Arabidopsis thaliana: one gene and its partners. The protein of the gene in region 2 interacts with the protein of the main gene of each other region in a pairwise test. Each region holds a gene or a part of one and is shown on either strand. Other genes may lie near its edges. The genes, in order: RPT6A, AT4G26290, AT3G61950 and CRF12.

Region 1 (5,911 bases), on a different chromosome or scaffold from region 2:
AAATGAAAATGTGGTTTTCCATTGACTTGAATTACATAACAAAGAGATTCCTACTTCCAGAACTTACTCAGAGGCTTGTTCTTCTTTGTGTGTGTTTTTCGTTACTTTCGCCACCGCCATCTCAGTATTCTTATGTCACGTGTACTCTCCTCTCACGCATATCAAATATTTTCGTTTCTGTGCACAAAGTTTAAACGTAATAACTGGAAACATAAGAAAGGTGCAAAATGTCCAGAGAACAAGATATAAGCTATTGTATTTTTCTTTTCCATTGCTTATTGTGTATTATATAATTCATTAATATCATATGTTTTGTATAATTTTGTAACTATGTTATCATTTGTATTAAAGATCTTTTTTTTGCTAAACTTGTATTAAAGATCTTGTATTAAAGATCTTGCTCTTTTTAAGTTTAATTTCATATGATTTTTTATTTGGGAGAAAAATAAAAAATGGAATGACGGAACCAACCCAAAATTAACAAAATTTATAAACCGCTTGGTTTTGTTATTTTATAAGTCTGCAATACAAAAAGTCCAAAACCACAACTTAAGCATACACCAAAACTTTGGTAACCGAGCTAAACCATACCGAATAAACCAAATTCGTGCGTAAAATTTGTAATTGAAATAAATTATCATAACATTTACATTATAGGCTTTTTCTCTCTAATGGAATATGACAGTTTCGGACAGAAGAACTCTTAACATGTGAAGGTTCTGCTTGTTTTGGTCTTATAAGCTCAGGTTCTTGAGTTTTGGGAATTTCCTTCCATTGACCTCAAATCGCATACTAGATAAACTCGTGTCTAGATAGTAAAAACTTTGTTCTAAAATGTTTTCATGAGACAACCGAAAAAAGGTTTCAGAATCAAACAACAAACAGTAAAGTAAAGAAAGTCTTTCCATGAGAGATTCCTACTTCCACAGCTTACGCAGAGACATGTTCTTCTCCGTGTCTTTCTTCATTACCTTGGCCACCGCCATCTCAAAGTCTTCTTGTGTCACGTGTACTCTCCTCTCACGCAGAGCAAACATTCCCGCCTCCGTGCACACAGCCTGACCGTATTAACCAAAAACATAAGAGAGAGGCAAAATGTAGAGAGAACAAGATAGAAGTAGAGAAATAGAAAACACTTTACCTTCAGCTCAGCACCTGAAGCGCCATTCATCTTCTCTGCAATCTTTTTCAGATCGATTCCACGCATCAAATTCATTTTCCTCGAGTGAATCTTCAAGATGTCAAAACGTGACTGCAACACATTTTGGAAACATACATTAGCCAAACCGTCCTGCCTCACTTGAGTAAAATGAGTATGGAGATAAAGAAAAGTTTTTTATGCTGCAAATGATAGTCTAAATACTAAATAAGGTGCCTACTTTGACGAATAATGTATTCATATCACCAAAAACAACAGTCAATATCATTTTCTCAGAGCACAAGTATTACCTCTTCATTAGGATTAGGAAATTCAATTTTCCTATCAATTCTTCCAGGCCTGAGAAGAGCTTGATCCAGAATATCAATACGATTTGTAGCCATCAAAACCTGCAACAGTCATTAAAGAGAATATGACTCTGTCAGCAATTTCAGACTACAATAACACAGACTCATCCTATTCAACTTATGGTTTTTTTTCCTTTACAACTTAATAGGTACCTTGATTTTGTTTGACGCTTCAAAACCGTCAAGTTGATTGAGAAGCTCGAGCATGGTCCGTTGCACCTCACTGTCACCATTTCCACTTCCAGATTCCATACGAGCAGACCCAATACTATCGATTTCATCCATGAAGATGATTGATGGTGCATGCTCCCTGAAAACCATAAACCGGTGTAAGCCAACTGGAAAGAGTATTTTCAACGAATCATCTCACCTATTTGTAATTTGCTCCTTACATGAGACTTGGCACTGTGGCCTAAATGCTAAGCACTATGACAAAGAATACTTTATAGAACGATATTCATTCACAACGGAACCATATTCATTGTAGCAACAAAGAACACTTTCCCCATTTAACTTAACAGCTCATGTCCATTTTATAGCAACTAATGGCGGACATGTTAAAAGATGTTATCTTATCAACAGTTCCATATTTTCCTATCAACCACTATTACCATGCTTGAAATTTAAAATAGGGACTACCATATACTAACCTTGCCATCACAAAAAGTTCTCTGACCATTCTAGAACCTTCTCCAATGTATTTCTGGACAAGCTCGGAACCAGAAACTCTTATGAAAGTACAGTCAGTGTGATGTGCAACAGCCCGAGCCAATAGTGTCTTCCCAGTTCCAGGTGGACCGTATAACAACACACCCTAGAAAGACAGAGAGATGAGATTACGTCTAATCCACTTAGCATCATCACAATATGGAGAAGAAGGTTTAAGATTCAAGTGTACCTTTGGCTGCGCAATTCCAAGAGACTCAAACAATTCAGGATGCTTGATTGGCAGCTCAATGACCTGATAAACCAGAAAAGATATAGATATTATATAAACATTAAAAGGATGAAACAACAGAGGAGATAGCCAATACTGTAGTGACTTTTAGTTTCGGTTTCTCATTCACTAAGCATACCTCCTTTATTTCCTTAATCTGCTGGTCAAGACCACCAATCATGTCATAGGTGGAGTCTGGAACCTTCTCAACTTTCATAAGGTTAACCAAGGGATCTACTTTACTTGGCAGAACCAGGTGGAGAACATAGCTATCATTACGAAGAGCAACTCTCGTTGATGGAGTGATTTTCGTAATGTCTATACTTTTGTCAATATCAACAACATACTTCCCCTCTGGATGAACCTGGAAAATGGGAGTGTAAGCCTTACTGACAACTATGTTCGTAGAAATACAAACATGATAATAAAAAAGATTCATACCTTAACCAAGACCTTGTTCTTTCCCATAACTTTTACCACTTCTCCCACATAGGACCCAGGTTCTTGAAGGAGCTGTAACTCTTCTCTGAGCATTCTCACTGTTCAATTAGAAATAATTTTAGTGTTAACGAGGTTTGAGATTTAGAACTAACTACAAATTATAAAGACTAGTAAGAAAACCTTCATGCATAAATAGGATGGTGATCATGATGACAACAGAAGCTGTTCTATAACTTTAAATGTGTAACTAAAATCATGGTATAGTGGAAAGGACTATATGGGCTCCTTCCAAAAGTATATATTCCTCAATGAAGATAGTGAAGAAATAACTAGGCTTTCCTGAAAAAAGCCACATACTTTGCAAAAGAACCAACAAGAAGACAGAATCTAGAAATCTAAACAAGTTAATGTTGCTAAAATCAAGACTAATCACTTCCAGATCGGAAACACTAAATCACCACAACAATTTTGAAATTTGAAATCACTCAGCTCCAATTGGAACGAAATCGAAAGCCCTAGCACAGAATCTGAGATTACGAAACACAAGGAGATGATAAAAAAGATCCAATTTTGCAGAGAATTAGGGTAAGAGAAGGAAGAAGAGACCTCGAGAATTGAGTTCATTCCTTTGAGCTTCAAGGCGATTGAGGTTATTAGTCTTCTGTCGAAGCTGGCGCTGGAGCTCATGGATGTGCTGGAGATAGTACTGCTTAAGCCCTTCCCCTTGTTTCGCCGCCGCTCCTTTCACGTTACAGGTTTCCTCCATCGCTGTCTCAGGACGCCTCGAATCTACTCCTACGGCCGCCATTTTCTCAGTGATTGAAACAAATTATCGAAGACAGAGATCTCTAGTAAGGAGATGAGAAGAAAAAGGAGAGAGATTAGTTTTCGTCGATCAGAATCTCAGAAACCCTCACGCGAAGCATTATATGATATCACCTAAATTAATAAAAAGGAAATTAACTCAACAATAGAAATATTTTTATTTTACTTTTTGCTTGTCTTAACCTTCTAGTTCGTTTAGAGTCCTTCCTCGAGTCTACGTTTTCTCAGGCTTACTCTAGCTGGTGGCTAATAAGCCGTTGGAACCATCTTAGAGATAAAACGTTCTGCTTGTTAGTAATTTAAGTTTCACCTTATCGAGTAAGAAGAGAGTTGTCGAGGGAGATAGTTGAAACTTTGAAACATTCGGATTAATAACTTCTTCTTTTTCGTTTAAATCTTACTTTAATACACATCATAAACATGTTTTATTACTAGATCAAAGATTTGAATAACATTTTAGTGTAGTTGATGCATGATGTCTCAACAACATGTTTCAACATCAACGACTTTGATTGGTGAATAAAAACAAAGTATTACAATTTGTATAGCTTTTTTTTATACAAAACACAAAAAGATTATCAAAAGTGTTACAAAAAGTTTTACTCTCACTTTTATTGTAAGGTTTTCTCGTACCGTTCTTTTTTACAGCTTTATAATATTCCGAAAAAACGTACACCTAAATTTTTTATACGACTTATTGTAAACAATCAGATCCGTTAATCTAAAATTTTGTACAGCTTTGTGTTGTACAGCCAGATGACAACAATTTTAGATTTATTATGTTTATTTAAGCGTTGGTTCAGCACATATCGTTAATCTAAAAGAGAGTGAATCTCAACAATGACTACATGCAATCTCAATTATTTGCTTAATTAGTGCATTGACTAGTTTATGTCCAAAATACACAATAATTTCTCTACAAACAAACAAAAATTCTCTACATACACACAGACAAAATCAATATGTTTAATATTCTTCCATTAATGGTGAGTTGACCAAAATTAACACCACAATTAAACTCAAAGTGACTAAAAAGATTACTAACAAAATTGTCCCGTACGATAAGACACTGACGAGAGAAGTCGTCGCCTTCCTCTAATTAGTCTCTGAATAATCCGATCCAGATCCCAAATCCTCTCTTCTTCATCTTCACCGATCTGGATCTCCCAAAAACCTCCACCAAAAACCAAAACAATGTCGTCCTCTCGATTCGATTCAAACAAACAATTAACAACAAGCAGTCTCGTAATCGGCTACGCACTCTGCTCAAGCCTCCTCGCCGTAATCAACAAATTAGCAATCACATACTTCAACTACCCAGGTCTCCTCACAGCTCTTCAATACCTAACCTGCACCGTCGCCGTCTATCTTCTCGGCAAATCAGGGTTAATCAATCACGATCCATTCACATGGGACACTGCTAAGAAATTTCTCCCTGCAGCTATCGTCTTCTACCTCGCTATCTTCACAAACACAAACCTCCTCCGTCACGCTAATGTCGATACTTTCATCGTCTTCCGATCTCTAACACCGCTCTTAGTCGCGATCGCTGATACTGTGTTTCGTAGTCAGCCTTTACCTTCGAGACTTACGTTTTTGTCTCTCGTCGTTATCCTCGCTGGAGCTGTTGGGTATGTTGCAACTGACTCGTCTTTTACTCTAACGGCTTATTCATGGGCTTTGGCTTATCTTGTTACCATTACTACTGAAATGGTTTACATTAAGCATATGGTCTCTAATATTAAATTGAACATTTGGGGATTGGTTCTCTACAATAATCTACTGTCTCTGATGATAGCACCGGTGTTCTGGTTTCTTACTGGAGAATTCACCGAGGTTTTCGCGGCGTTGAGTGAGAATAGAGGGAATTTGTTTGAGCCTTATGCGTTTTCTTCTGTGGCTGCGTCGTGTGTGTTTGGTTTCCTTATCAGTTACTTTGGATTTGCTGCTAGGAATGCTATCTCTGCTACTGCTTTTACAGTCACTGGTGTTGTTAACAAGTTCTTGACTGTTGTCATCAATGTTTTGATTTGGGATAAGCATGCCACTCCTGTTGGTTTGGTTTGTCTTCTTTTTACTATCTGTGGAGGTGTTGGTTATCAGCAGAGTGTCAAATTGGATAAACCCATTGAGAAGGTCAGCGAGAAAGATAGCGAGAAGGGAGAGGAAGATGAGGAGTTGACGCAGTTGGTTCCGGGGAAA
Region 2 (2,638 bases):
GGTTATATCTACTCGAATTTGAATGGAAAAAAAATAAAAATAAAAATAAGATAAAAGAGTCAACCTTATGTCCAATTCAAGATAATTGTTAAAAAAACAATCCAAAATTCGATTTCAGTCGTTCATAATTTATATTCAATTGGGATTTGGGATCAAGATAAAAGAGTCAACCTTATGTTTTTATGAGAGGCTAGAGAAAAAATAGATTATGATTAATAAATTTGATAGAAGAAACAGAGTAAAACGTTATCCACAGGCCACAGCTTGCACGTAAGTAATACCTATACATTATCGTTTATTCGTTATCCTTTTTTCTCTTACTAAACCGTATCTCTTCGCTTATCTACATGTGTAATCCTCTACCTCCCTCTATATATATACAAAACACAACTTTTATCAAAAAAAAAAAAAAAAACTAGAACAGAACACAAACATCTCGACAAGAACTCTCTGTTCTTTCTTATCAAAAAAAAAAAGAACTCTCTGTTCTGTTCTTATTGATCAAGAAACCTTTTCTTGTCCTTTTGGTTAAGACTTCAAAAGAAAGATCAAATCAGAATCTAAACATAATTGACAAAAGAAGAAGAGATGAACATTCGCGATGGTAATCTTATTTCGACTACAAAAGAAGAAGAGGGTGTTATTGGAGTTTCAGGATCCTCTGCAAAAGTTTCATCTTCATCTTCTATCTCTATGTGTTCATCTGATTTAACAGAGGATGCTTCTTCTTCTTCTTCTTCTTCTTCTTCTTCTTCAAATGGGCCTTTCGACGATCTTTCGGACCTCATCTCTCAGCTCCCTATCATGTAATGACACTAAATCTCTGGGTGAAATATTATCTCACAGTCCTTATTCTCTTTGATCGTTCCATCTTGTCTCCATAGACAGTGTTAAGAATTTGTTTTCTTATTGTCTTTGTTTTTTTTCTTACAGTCAGGTCAAGAAAGGAGGACTTTCAAAGTATTATAAAGGCAAATCTCAATCATTCACATCTCTAGCAAATGTCACAAGTCTACAGGATCTTGTGAAGAGAGGATCAAGAACGAAGTCATGCTGCAAAAGGGATTATTTCTATGGACCAAAGGCAACAATCTCCATGAAAGCCACGAGAACATCCTCAAAACATTCAAATTCAAGATTAACCTTTAAACCATTTCATGATTCACCCAAATCAGTTCAATGACATGACAAAACAACCTTCTGGGTTCAGTTTAACATTGTATTCATTTGTATACAAGTTTGCCCCAAGCTAAATGAGAACAGAGAGAATTTAGGGCCAAATAACGCCTTTTACACTAATTGTGCAGAAAAATTGTCAAAACGAATTAAAAACATTTTCCTTTGGGTCGTTTACTTGTGATGTGATCAAATCTTGTAAACCGGAGTGATTCCAAGAAGGTGGAAGCATTTCCGCATGACTATGGCCGTTGCTTCACAAAGTAGGAGACGGCTTGTCTCCTCTGGTGAACCATTGACCTGTAAAAGATCATGTTTTAAGTGAGATCAACATTATAGTGGTTGATTATGCAGCTATGCAGTCTAATATCACAATATCAAATGAGAAATGTAGAGTCTTGTGAATTGCACACCTGACAATTGGAGTAGAATCTGGTAAAGTGTTCAGATAAATTGTAGAGGTACTCGCACAGAACACTCGGTAATAAGTTGGTACAAGCTTCCTCCACCGTCTGCAAATTGTTCACACATGAGTTTCAAGTTCATCTTGTTGCCGAGAAAAAGAAGCCAAATATGAAAGAAGTATCTAAAGAGAGCATGTGTTACCTCAGCAAATCGAAGCAAGTGAAGCCCCAGTGCTCGTTCATCTGCATGATCCAATGCTAATTTTCCTGTCTGCAATGAATAAGATGTTGAAACATAAGAATTACTCTTTATTGTACTGCGTATGGTAGGAACTAATAACAGACTTCGTAGGTGTTCGACGATCCATATCTTATGAAAATGTGAAAGATAGCACAACCAAGAAACTAAAAAGGACAAAAAGGCCCAGGGTGTATACAAAATGAATCTTGAGACTCCAAAAAATTAAATGCTCACTATAGACACTGGCATTAACTTAAAAGTTTAAACACTTCTGAAAATTGTTTAAGCTTTCAATTTCAAACTAAATAGTTTATAACGTCGCATTTCCTTGATAGAGACAATGGGAAAGTTTCAGGGGCAGCCAAGAGGAACAAAGAATAAAATTCAGCGATTCATGTTCATGCAGCTAAAGTACCTTTTTCAGCTCATCTATGTCTTTGCCAGACTTTCTGATGATTGAACAGATCCGAGCATGGGCGTAAAGAAGGTAAACGGCTGTATTTCCCTGCTCATGACATATGATCAATAAGGTTGTGTAGGTGACTGCAAAATGCAAATTTGTAAACTAGGTGGCAAATTTCAGTACCTTGTCATTAAGCATTTGATCAAAGCTGAAAGTATAATTTGTTAATCTGTTGTTCTTCAGGTCAGCATACCTTGAAAGAATATTAAACAAAACCGCACATTAGCTTGTAGCCATGAATATAAACCAACTGTCAAAACATCTGGCAAATCATTCATCATAATTGAGCAGCCTTAATTATAAAACGTCACCGAAAACCGGAAGATACTGAATAGAATTCACTATTATCAGCAG
Region 3 (4,367 bases), on a different chromosome or scaffold from region 2:
GGATTCTCTACTACATCTCTAACTTACAGCATCGTCGGTCTCATCTTTAGCGAAAATAGACCGCGGGCATTGTATATAAGAAACTTTCCTGGCTCTGCTTGGGTCAAGTCTATAACATTTGTGGCTTTTCCTTATATTCTCTTGAAATTTCGAAATGGTTACTCTATATTGTTGATGCTGTGACCAAAAAGTATTTGCCTCCCTCATTGTATAGTGCCAATATCAATAATAGCTTAAAATACCAAAGATGCAAACTTTGTTGGTGCACAAACTCTCCCGTGTGAAGCTCGAGGAGGATCACTCCAAAGGCGAAAGCTCTAAACGTCCCATTTGGAAACGAGAAGTCTGGTACACGACATCCCATTGACAATGATCGTAAAGTCAACACTTAAAATAGGGACAAAAGTCAAACCATGATTGATGAAATAATAAAGACGAATAAGATCAAACTTTTAATAAGATGGGACCCAATCTCACAAAACACCCAAAGCCTGAACAATAATAATCGAACAATCCAATAATATACGAACAAAACAGAATTTAATTCTGTCAGTAGGAAAATGAAAGAACGAAAAACGAAATTTTTTTATTCTCTTAATTCTTAAAAAATTGGTACAAGTAGGAAAAAAAAAAAAGATACCATTTTGTCAGCTGTTAATATTTTTGGAATTATATGTGTTTAATCAAATTGTCGGAATATCGAAAATCCGATGAACAGCCGCCGTAATCTCGTCGGCTGACTCTAAGTCGCACTCATCTTCCATCTGCTCCGACACAATTGAAAAAAAAAACAAGATTTTTTAATTAAAGATTCAATTTTCAATGTTGGGTTTTTGTTGATTGAAGTAAAAAATGGAAAGTAGTGTTTACCTTGAGGTTGAAGGAATAAGAAACAGAGGAATGAGACGAAGTAGTGATATTGAGATGAAGAACAGTGAGTTTAAGCTTTTCAAGTGATATGATTCCTTTGAGAAGTTGTCCTTGTTTCTTCTCACATTGAACTTTAAGGCTGACATGGTTTTGTATCACTGTAGCTTCGATTTTGGGGATACAAGTTTGATCTTCAAGAGTTGTCCACAGGTCGTTCGACGAAATGCCTGAGAGATGATTAAGTGCGTTTTCTACTACCTCACTGTTACTTTGTTGTTGCGTTCTCTTTTGCGATTCGAGAGATTGTATGATTTGCTCGAGGACCTTCACGTAGTTTATTGCTCCTCCTACTATGGAAGCTTGGTCTCCCTGCAGGACAACATTTGATAAGGTTTTGATGATTAAAGGTTGAAACTTTCATGTATGCTTTTGGTTATTTACTCGTTGGATGTAGGAAGGTGGGAGAAGGGCCCGGAGAGAGTTGATATGTTCGTTCATTTGACGTCTTCTGTTTCGTTCAACAGCAATGTGGTTTATTCTTTGATTCTCAATCTCTTCATTGTTTTTACTTGGTTTTGTTTTCCTCCTCTTTCTCTTTTCTCTAGTCATTTCTTGAGGCAGCAAGTGGTTGATTTTGCGCTTTCGTCTTGAATGTGCACTGAGTGGTGATGAGGTAGAAGAAGGGAGTGTCATGTTTGCTTGGCTAAAGGGAATTTCTTGGCTTGACACAGCTTGATTGGCTCCTTCCATGAAGCGGTTGGTCTCAGATTGGACCGGTGAATGAAATTGTGAATCCTCAAGTGAAAGATATCTTTCGAGTTCCCAAGGCTCCTTGAGGGTTTGAAGAGACAGTAGCGTCAGAAAGTTTGGCTCTTTGATTGAAAAAAACGATGAGGGGTCTTCACTTTGCAGCATCTGTAGAAATGGAACTGTATCTTGTAAGCTTTCTTCCTCTTTTTCTTTGAAAGCAAAGCTTTGAGCCTCTGCAAATCCTTGAACCTCGAGGCTTCTCACATCCGGTTTTCGATCGAAGAACTGTAAAAATGACAGAGGAATGAGATTAGCCGGTGAGACGCAAATGATTGAAAGAGAAGTGTAATTTAGTTCTACTGTGGGTTAGTTTGGTTCTTAGTACAGAGATAAGCAAAAAAATAGAAAGGAAAATGGAATGTTTTCAAAGAAAGGGAAGCAAAAATGATTGTAGAATTGTTACTGTTTTCTCTAAAACAAACAACAAAAGCATTAAATGCACAGTATCTGGACTAATTAGGAATTGTTACTGTTTTCTCTAAAACAAACAACAAAAGCATTAAATGCACAGTATCTGGACTAATTAGGAATGAGTAAATGCAAGTCCATGTCTCTGAGTATGGAAAAAAATGATTCAAGGGAAGAGAGAAAGATTGAAGAAAGAGAGTTAAAAGTTTTCTAAATCAAGCAAAAGATACATACACAGGGGTTGATGTGTCCTTGAAACCTTTCCATTTGAGAGCTCTTGTTTGGTATGTAATGTAATGAAAAGAAGATGAGTGAGTAATAATAAATGCTAAGAATCACCAAAGAGGCAGAAGAGGAAACTCATGTACTCTCTTCTGATTCTGAGCTTTTATGGACTTGTAACTGTTAGCTTTATATAGAACAGTGAGTCTTTAGTAAAGCTATTGAGTAGAGTGGAAACAGAGGAGCTGTAAAAAACAGAGAGGTAATAAGATAGATGTATTTGGGTACTGTAAGAGTTGGTGAGGCTGAGCAGAGCAGATGAGAGAGAGATATTATTGGTGGAAGCAGTTTTGTCTTGAAGTGGAGACAGACTTTGTGGGGACAGTTCTAAATTACACAGAAGAAGAAGGTAAAAAAGAGACATGTCATGGGTAAGAGAGCTTCTTCCTTTGGGTTTGTGTCATCTTTCTCATGATGTCTCAATCATCCTTTCTTCACTATTCCCATACCACACCATTCCTTTTCTTCAAGGCTCAAAAAGCTAAAACTTTATACAGATACCATGTTGCATTTGCATGCATCCATCATGTTCTAATGATTCGAACCTTTAATAGATGTAAGGTTTCTAAAGTGTGGGATTTTGTTTATTACTTTGCAATCAAACATATCTTGATTACAATTAAAAGAAAAAGGTTGACTCTAAATGCCTTGGCTGCTACGGCATTAAACAGTGTTTGTCCTATAAAAATGTCCCAACATGTCCACAAGCTCAATCCAAACGGGTAACTTCATATCCGGTCTCACAAAATTTGAGCAAAGAAACAAAACATTCGTGCTTTGCATGGTTATTGGTTAACGAAGACCTTAGAAACCTTATCAACACATCAAAACTCCAAAGAAAGTTGAATCTTTGTTTATCAATTGTGTACTGGATATGGTTGTTAACTGTCACACACGAGCTATGGTTACTTGCTCTTAGGACAAACATGCCCCACTCTTTTTGGTAGGTCTATTATCAAAGATAAACCCTAAAGATTCTGATTTTTCTTTAGTAGTAACTTAACACAAATCCCTAATCTCAAATAAAGTTATGTCCTTTTAATTACCTTTTTCAAGACAAGACAACTTATTCATAAACAAGAAAGACAATGGCATATGTCACAACAAGGTAATGAGAGCATACGAGAAAGCGAAAAAAGATTTAACTTTGATCATGAAAATGACAGAAAACCAGAGAAATGAACCCTTTTGTTGTTTTAACGCTCGATTTGTATCGTAACGTGACTGATACGATACTCTCTCCAGATGTAATCGATCACTTTGTTCAGCACCATTTCATCACCAGCTTCTGGTCTAACCTTGACATGACAAGAAAACAGAGCTTTTCCAACTGTAATTGCCCATATGTGCAGCTCATGAACATCCACAACTTCCTCAATTTCCATCAATCCCTTTTCGAGCTGCCTCGCGTCTATCTCTCTCGGTGTGCTCTCCATTAGAACTTCAAGTATGCTTCGAAGCATCTTAATGGTTGTCCCTAAAACAATAACTGAAAAGAATAACGTGCATATCAAGTCAATTACTTTCCATTTAGGGTTATACCAAATCATACCCCCTCCAATCATTACCCCAATGCTCTGAATTAAATCCCCAAGAACATGAAGATAAGCCCCTTGCACATTAATGTTCCTTATTTCCTTGGATTTCTCCAACAACTGCTCAGCTCTTTCCCCATAACTATGACCATGATCATGACTGTGACCATGATCATGCCCATGTCCGTGATCATGTCCAAGCACAACAATCATTATGATGTTTACAACTAAACCAAAAGCAGCAACAAGAACCATAAAGAAACCATCAACATCATCATTGGTCTCTTGAACGAGTCTAGTTACGGCTTCGTAGACCAAAATCCCAGTGAGTAACCAAATGAGCTGGATTGAGACAAGAGTGCCTAAAATCTCTATCCTGAAGAACCCATAACTCTGTCGCGGATTTGCTTCCCAAGAAGAAGCCCACAAGGAGAGCATAGAGATAGCAAAAGCACCAACATC
Region 4 (4,489 bases), on a different chromosome or scaffold from region 2:
CAGTGAAGAAGGGAAAGATATGCCTCATAGCTTAGACACAACAAAAATACATGAACTTGGCTTTGCCTCCTTCAAGTCATTAACAGAGATGTTTGATGACTGTATCAAGTGTTTTCAAGACAAGGGTTTGCTCTGAAACACAAACTAATCAAGCTTATATTTAAACATCAACGAGATCTCTTAATCTAAAAGGATTCCACACTATGTAAAGTGCCCATCAATCTTGGACTTAATAATTACACCATCTCGCTCACGTCTTGTAGAGTTTCTTTGGACTGATCGTATCACGTGCTTAACACACACAAATGTCCGTACCAAGAAAGGTACAGGAACACGTGTCAACTCTCTTTAGTACTCTTTACTTTTAAGGTAGTGGAGAATGCCACTTGAGAGAGTCGTCTACATTTCATTTTTGGTCGTTCACAAGTCACAATCACCATTAGCCACCTTCAAAAACATAAATGTGATCCAACTGTTATGTACTATTAATATCAACCCATGACTTATTAAATTCTCGGTTTAGATTTTCTGTCCTGATTAGACAAACATTAAAAGAGAAAGGTACAACACCAAGAGACAAAAGAGATACGAAGAACAATGCATAAGGAAATAGATTAAAACATAAAGATGAAAGAAAGTAAAACCAACATTTATGAAAAAATGTTGTGCAAATCACTCCTTTGGACTGTTCTAAAAGCACATGAAAAATCCATAGAGATCAGACCGCAAGGATCATACTTTCTAGCTTTCTTCATCATGTTCCTGTGAAACAGAAACCGAAGCTAACAACTCTTAAACCAAACCGAGAGGCGGTGTTGTCAGATGATCTGTATAGGCAAATTTGAAATCATCAAGCTGGAATTCCATTTCAGTGAAATCACAGTCAGGTAGCTCACTTGGAAGACTGTTTTCAAACCTGCTGAAGTTGATATCATTTTCGAGCAATGAGTAATCATCCAGCAGAATGTTAGAGTCAGTAAGGAAACAATCAAAGTCTAGCTCTGCACCATTTGCATTAGAAACCATAGAATCCTCTTCTGCTGCTAAGAATCTCAGATCAGGTATTTTCACATCCGAAAAGTCGAAAGTAGTGAACACTTCTTTGGTGGTTGAATCACCAGACGCAGCAACATCTTTGTTCAGAGACGTCTTTTCTTTAGACAAATCATCAGCACTTACACAAGAAACAGAAGCAGAAGTAGGGGAACGCAAGCACTGGCTAGTCACTGTTACAACCGATGAGGAAACAGCAGAACCTGAAGAAGCCAGTGCATCATACTCAACCTTCTTGTCAACATAAGCCTTCTCAGCTTCTGCAGGAGTTTCATAAGTACCCAACCATTTCTTAGTTTTAGTGAATGGGTTCAAAATCTCAGCAGCAAATTTGCCTGATGGCCTCGGCCTAACTCCCACAGGATACTTAAACTGCCTAGTAGATTTCCTTCTAGGGGTTTTGACAGCATTGCTACGATCCTGAGAACTCTCGGAGACCTGAGGGAGGAAAGTAATCTCATGAACAAAACGCTTTACCTTTCGAGGTTTAGGTAACCATTCATCGCTAGAGGAAGAGGAATCATCAGTAGCATCAGGATCAGTGAAAACAATACGAACTGTTCTCAACAAAGAGTCTCTCTCAGGTTTCACAAAGGACTTCATATCTTCTCAAACACACCAAGAACACACCAAAAAAACCCCACTCAAAAATCTCTGATCAAAAACTGCTAAATCGGATGAGGTTTTTTTCAGGAAAAAGATTTCTCTGTTTCAGCGAACTATGAAAAAGGGTATTTTTTGCTTTTCGTGAAAACCCCCAAATACTTCAACACCAGAACAAGTCCTGCACAAAATCACAATCCAGAACCAATACTTAAAACCTTTAGATTCTCCTTCACCAACAAAAGAAAAAGATAAAGAAGAAGAGAGAAAAGGCCAAACCTTTTAAGTCTTAAGCCCATGGAAATGGAAGGAACCTCAAGAATAAGCCTCTGTTCGGAGCAGAAGCGAAGAGCGTTAAGAACAGCCGTCAGACTCAGACCAAAGAACAAGACAGACGAGGAAGAAGAAGAAGACGATTGAATTGCAAAGGAGATTAGAAACAGAGACGAAATCGCAGCCGATTCAGACACAGCCGACATAAATCCGCGTTACAAACGCCGTTGTTGTTCCGATTGCTTCTCAAATACCCAAAAATCCCGACTTTTAACTGTTCCTGTTCTTCAAAAGAGATAAAAACCCACAAGAGATAAGTGAGACACACACACACAGCTACAACCTAAAACCCTTAGAAGAAAGAAGTGTAAAAAAGGGTTCTTGAATTAAACTCCGATTCAAACAAAACGCAAATCTTTAGAAAGAGAAGAACATAAATTACAGTCGCAGGCTCACAGTAAGCAAATATAAGAGAGACGGGTTACTATTCAAGTAATGATTTCGTGGAGAAATGCAGAGAGTTTGTGATGAGAAAAAAAGAAAGAAGAAATCTTTCACCTACCTTGTGCTCTTTTTCTGAAAATTCTATCTGTTTCTCTCACAGGATAAAGCTTTAACCTTTATATGCTGTTAGTATTATTCACTTACCTTGATTTTCTCACTTGTTACGTTAGACCCGATTTTTACTACTATTTTACTGCTGGTCTAAAGGAACCATTCCTTTTTTTTTGCATGAACCATTCAAAGGAAAAAGTAACAAATCTTGGAATATCTAATCTAATTTTCGATGATATTATCTTGACTAATTGTTTTCCAAATTGTTTTAAACTGCTCAAAACATAGTATTTTTAGTTTACTTATAAATTTACATATTGACGTAAATGTGGTTAGGAAATGTTATTGTTGTGGTATTTTTCTTTTTTCTTTTGTGTTTGTTTAGCCAATTCAAATATGTAGCATTCGTGAAAATACTGATATAAAAATATTTAAATACTCATTTATATGTGTTAAAGCGTTTACAAAATTATCATCAATGGCCGGCCATGAATCATAACTAGCCAATATAGAATTAGGTTTTTGGTTTGAAATGTAAATTTACAAAAGAAAATCTGTCATAAAAGTTCATCTCGTACTTTATCATAAGAAAGTATTCACATTTGTTGGTCTTTTTTATAAGGTTTAGTAAATTTTTGGGTTTCTAGAATTTGTTTTTTAGTATGAATGTTTTCTAGAGATTTTTAGTTTATAAGAAAAGAAAAGAACAAAGCAAAAGCAGAGAGCAAAGCCTAGTTAAAGACTCTTATTAGCATCTCTCCGGGATATAGACTAGAACTAGATTTTCTTTTCCTTCCAGTTAAGTTGTTTTGCGTTCTGAAATCTAAAATTTGATCATTCTTTCTGTGGTATACGTACACATATACATGTTACTAAGAAAATTATCAGTATGTTATCTTTTCTTTAATTTTATCTATGTGGTCTCTTGAACTTTAGTACAAAATGGTCTCTATATTAGGAGACGTATATGATAAGGGACATACATATTAATGGCGCATGACCAAACCATACTTTAATATCATGCATCTATCATGTCCCACTAATCGCCTAAGCTATCCATTTGGGAGCGTGTGATTCAATCTTTCTCATAAGAAGAACAATTTTACTGGTATTTTATGCAAGTGTAGTCCTCCACACATAAGATGCTTCTGTTGTATGAAGGCAAAGAGCGGATGCAATAACTTTTTCAAAATTCGGTAAAAACCTGAACTGTGAATCTGTGATTGCAATTTTTTTACAATGGTGTTGTTGTTCAAATGGTGACAGCAAAACATGAATTAATAGACTGAAACGATTTTTTTTCATCTTACCACAAAACAATTATACACTATTATACATCACATAATAAATGTTATAATTATAAAAAAAACATGAGTGATACTATTTTTTAAACTCTACTCTTCAATTGATAGTTATTTTTGCTTGATTTTTTTTTAGCAAAACAATGATTTAATAAAATAAAAAAATTGTGATATGCCTAATATTGGTAAGAAAGAAAAAATATCGTACTTTTCAATGTCCTTAAAAATACAAATTTTTATGATTTGACTACTTCCAAATTTCTTTAAATGAGTTCAAATTCAAATATTTAAAATTTCGTAAGAAACAATATACATATAGAACAAGAAACATCTTTTATGGACGGCCAAATCATGTTGTTTTTTGCTCTACAAATGAAAATCATATACTATTACTAATTAAATTATATGTTGTCTTATAGCTTCGGAATCTTTCTAAACATGATTCACCCCTTTTCATTACAGGACCCCACTATAATTAAGGTTTCTTCTAAAGTGGGATCCATCTGATCGAACCATCTCATCTCACTCTCAGTTTATGAAATCGTGATCTTTTGGAAGAAGAAATCAACGCAAATGGCTGACCAAACTAGAGAAGCCTTTCTCTCTCGAAAAGCTTGCTCAGATTTCGGATTCAATGATTCAAACATCATCGATGACCGTCGTTCCAAGTTCCGGTGTTTCCGATTTTGCTCCGACGGGATCAC

Evidence for each region.
Region 1: the proteins of AT4G26290 (region 2) and RPT6A interact in a two-hybrid assay, tested with the Arabidopsis thaliana proteins (one large-scale study listed by BioGRID).
Region 3: the proteins of AT4G26290 (region 2) and AT3G61950 interact in a two-hybrid assay, tested with the Arabidopsis thaliana proteins (one large-scale study listed by BioGRID).
Region 4: the proteins of AT4G26290 (region 2) and CRF12 interact in a two-hybrid assay, tested with the Arabidopsis thaliana proteins (one large-scale study listed by BioGRID).

What each region holds. Positions count from the first base shown.
Region 1 is NC_003076.8:6,749,925-6,755,835, reverse strand, and holds RPT6A (regulatory particle triple-A ATPase 6A), read right to left. Parts: upstream 4,039-5,911; 5' UTR 3,876-4,038; exon of another isoform or gene 3,733-3,875; 5' UTR 3,693-3,732; coding exon 3,491-3,692; exon of another isoform or gene 3,093-3,490; coding exon of another isoform or gene 3,065-3,092; intron 2,983-3,064; coding exon 2,885-2,982; intron 2,808-2,884; coding exon 2,583-2,807; intron 2,468-2,582; coding exon 2,405-2,467; intron 2,321-2,404; coding exon 2,157-2,320; intron 1,817-2,156; coding exon 1,660-1,816; intron 1,549-1,659; coding exon 1,450-1,548; intron 1,253-1,449; coding exon 1,142-1,252; intron 1,059-1,141; coding exon 918-1,058; 3' UTR 543-917; downstream 1-542. Other genes in the region: GONST4 (golgi nucleotide sugar transporter 4), read left to right, coding at 4,904-5,911. UniProt on the Arabidopsis thaliana protein: The 26S proteasome is involved in the ATP-dependent degradation of ubiquitinated proteins. The regulatory (or ATPase) complex confers ATP dependency and substrate specificity to the 26S complex.
Region 2 is NC_003075.7:13,307,035-13,309,672, forward strand, and holds AT4G26290 (uncharacterized protein), read right to left. Parts: upstream 789-2,638; coding exon 561-788; downstream 1-560. Other genes in the region: AT4G26288 (uncharacterized protein), read left to right, coding at 589-806, 934-1,183; emb1027 (Arginyl-tRNA synthetase, class Ic), read right to left, coding at 1,366-1,476, 1,590-1,688, 1,783-1,851, 2,237-2,326, 2,408-2,477.
Region 3 is NC_003074.8:22,937,649-22,942,015, reverse strand, and holds AT3G61950 (basic helix-loop-helix (bHLH) DNA-binding superfamily protein), read right to left. Parts: upstream 2,629-4,367; 5' UTR 2,356-2,628; coding exon 2,323-2,355; intron 2,212-2,322; exon of another isoform or gene 1,906-2,211; coding exon 1,312-1,905; coding exon of another isoform or gene 1,288-1,311; exon of another isoform or gene 1,240-1,287; coding exon 871-1,239; coding exon of another isoform or gene 820-870; exon of another isoform or gene 765-819; coding exon 684-764; 3' UTR 534-683; downstream 1-533. Other genes in the region: AT3G61960 (Protein kinase superfamily protein), read left to right, coding at 1-50; MTPA1 (Cation efflux family protein), read right to left, coding at 3,567-4,367.
Region 4 is NC_003070.9:8,944,109-8,948,597, forward strand, and holds CRF12 (AP2 domain-containing transcription factor family protein), read right to left. Parts: upstream 2,521-4,489; 5' UTR 2,492-2,520; intron 2,215-2,491; 5' UTR 1,936-2,214; intron 1,838-1,935; 5' UTR 1,657-1,837; coding exon 793-1,656; 3' UTR 501-792; downstream 1-500. Other genes in the region: AT1G25460 (NAD(P)-binding Rossmann-fold superfamily protein), read left to right, coding at 1-136; AT1G25480 (aluminum activated malate transporter family protein), read left to right, coding at 4,359-4,489.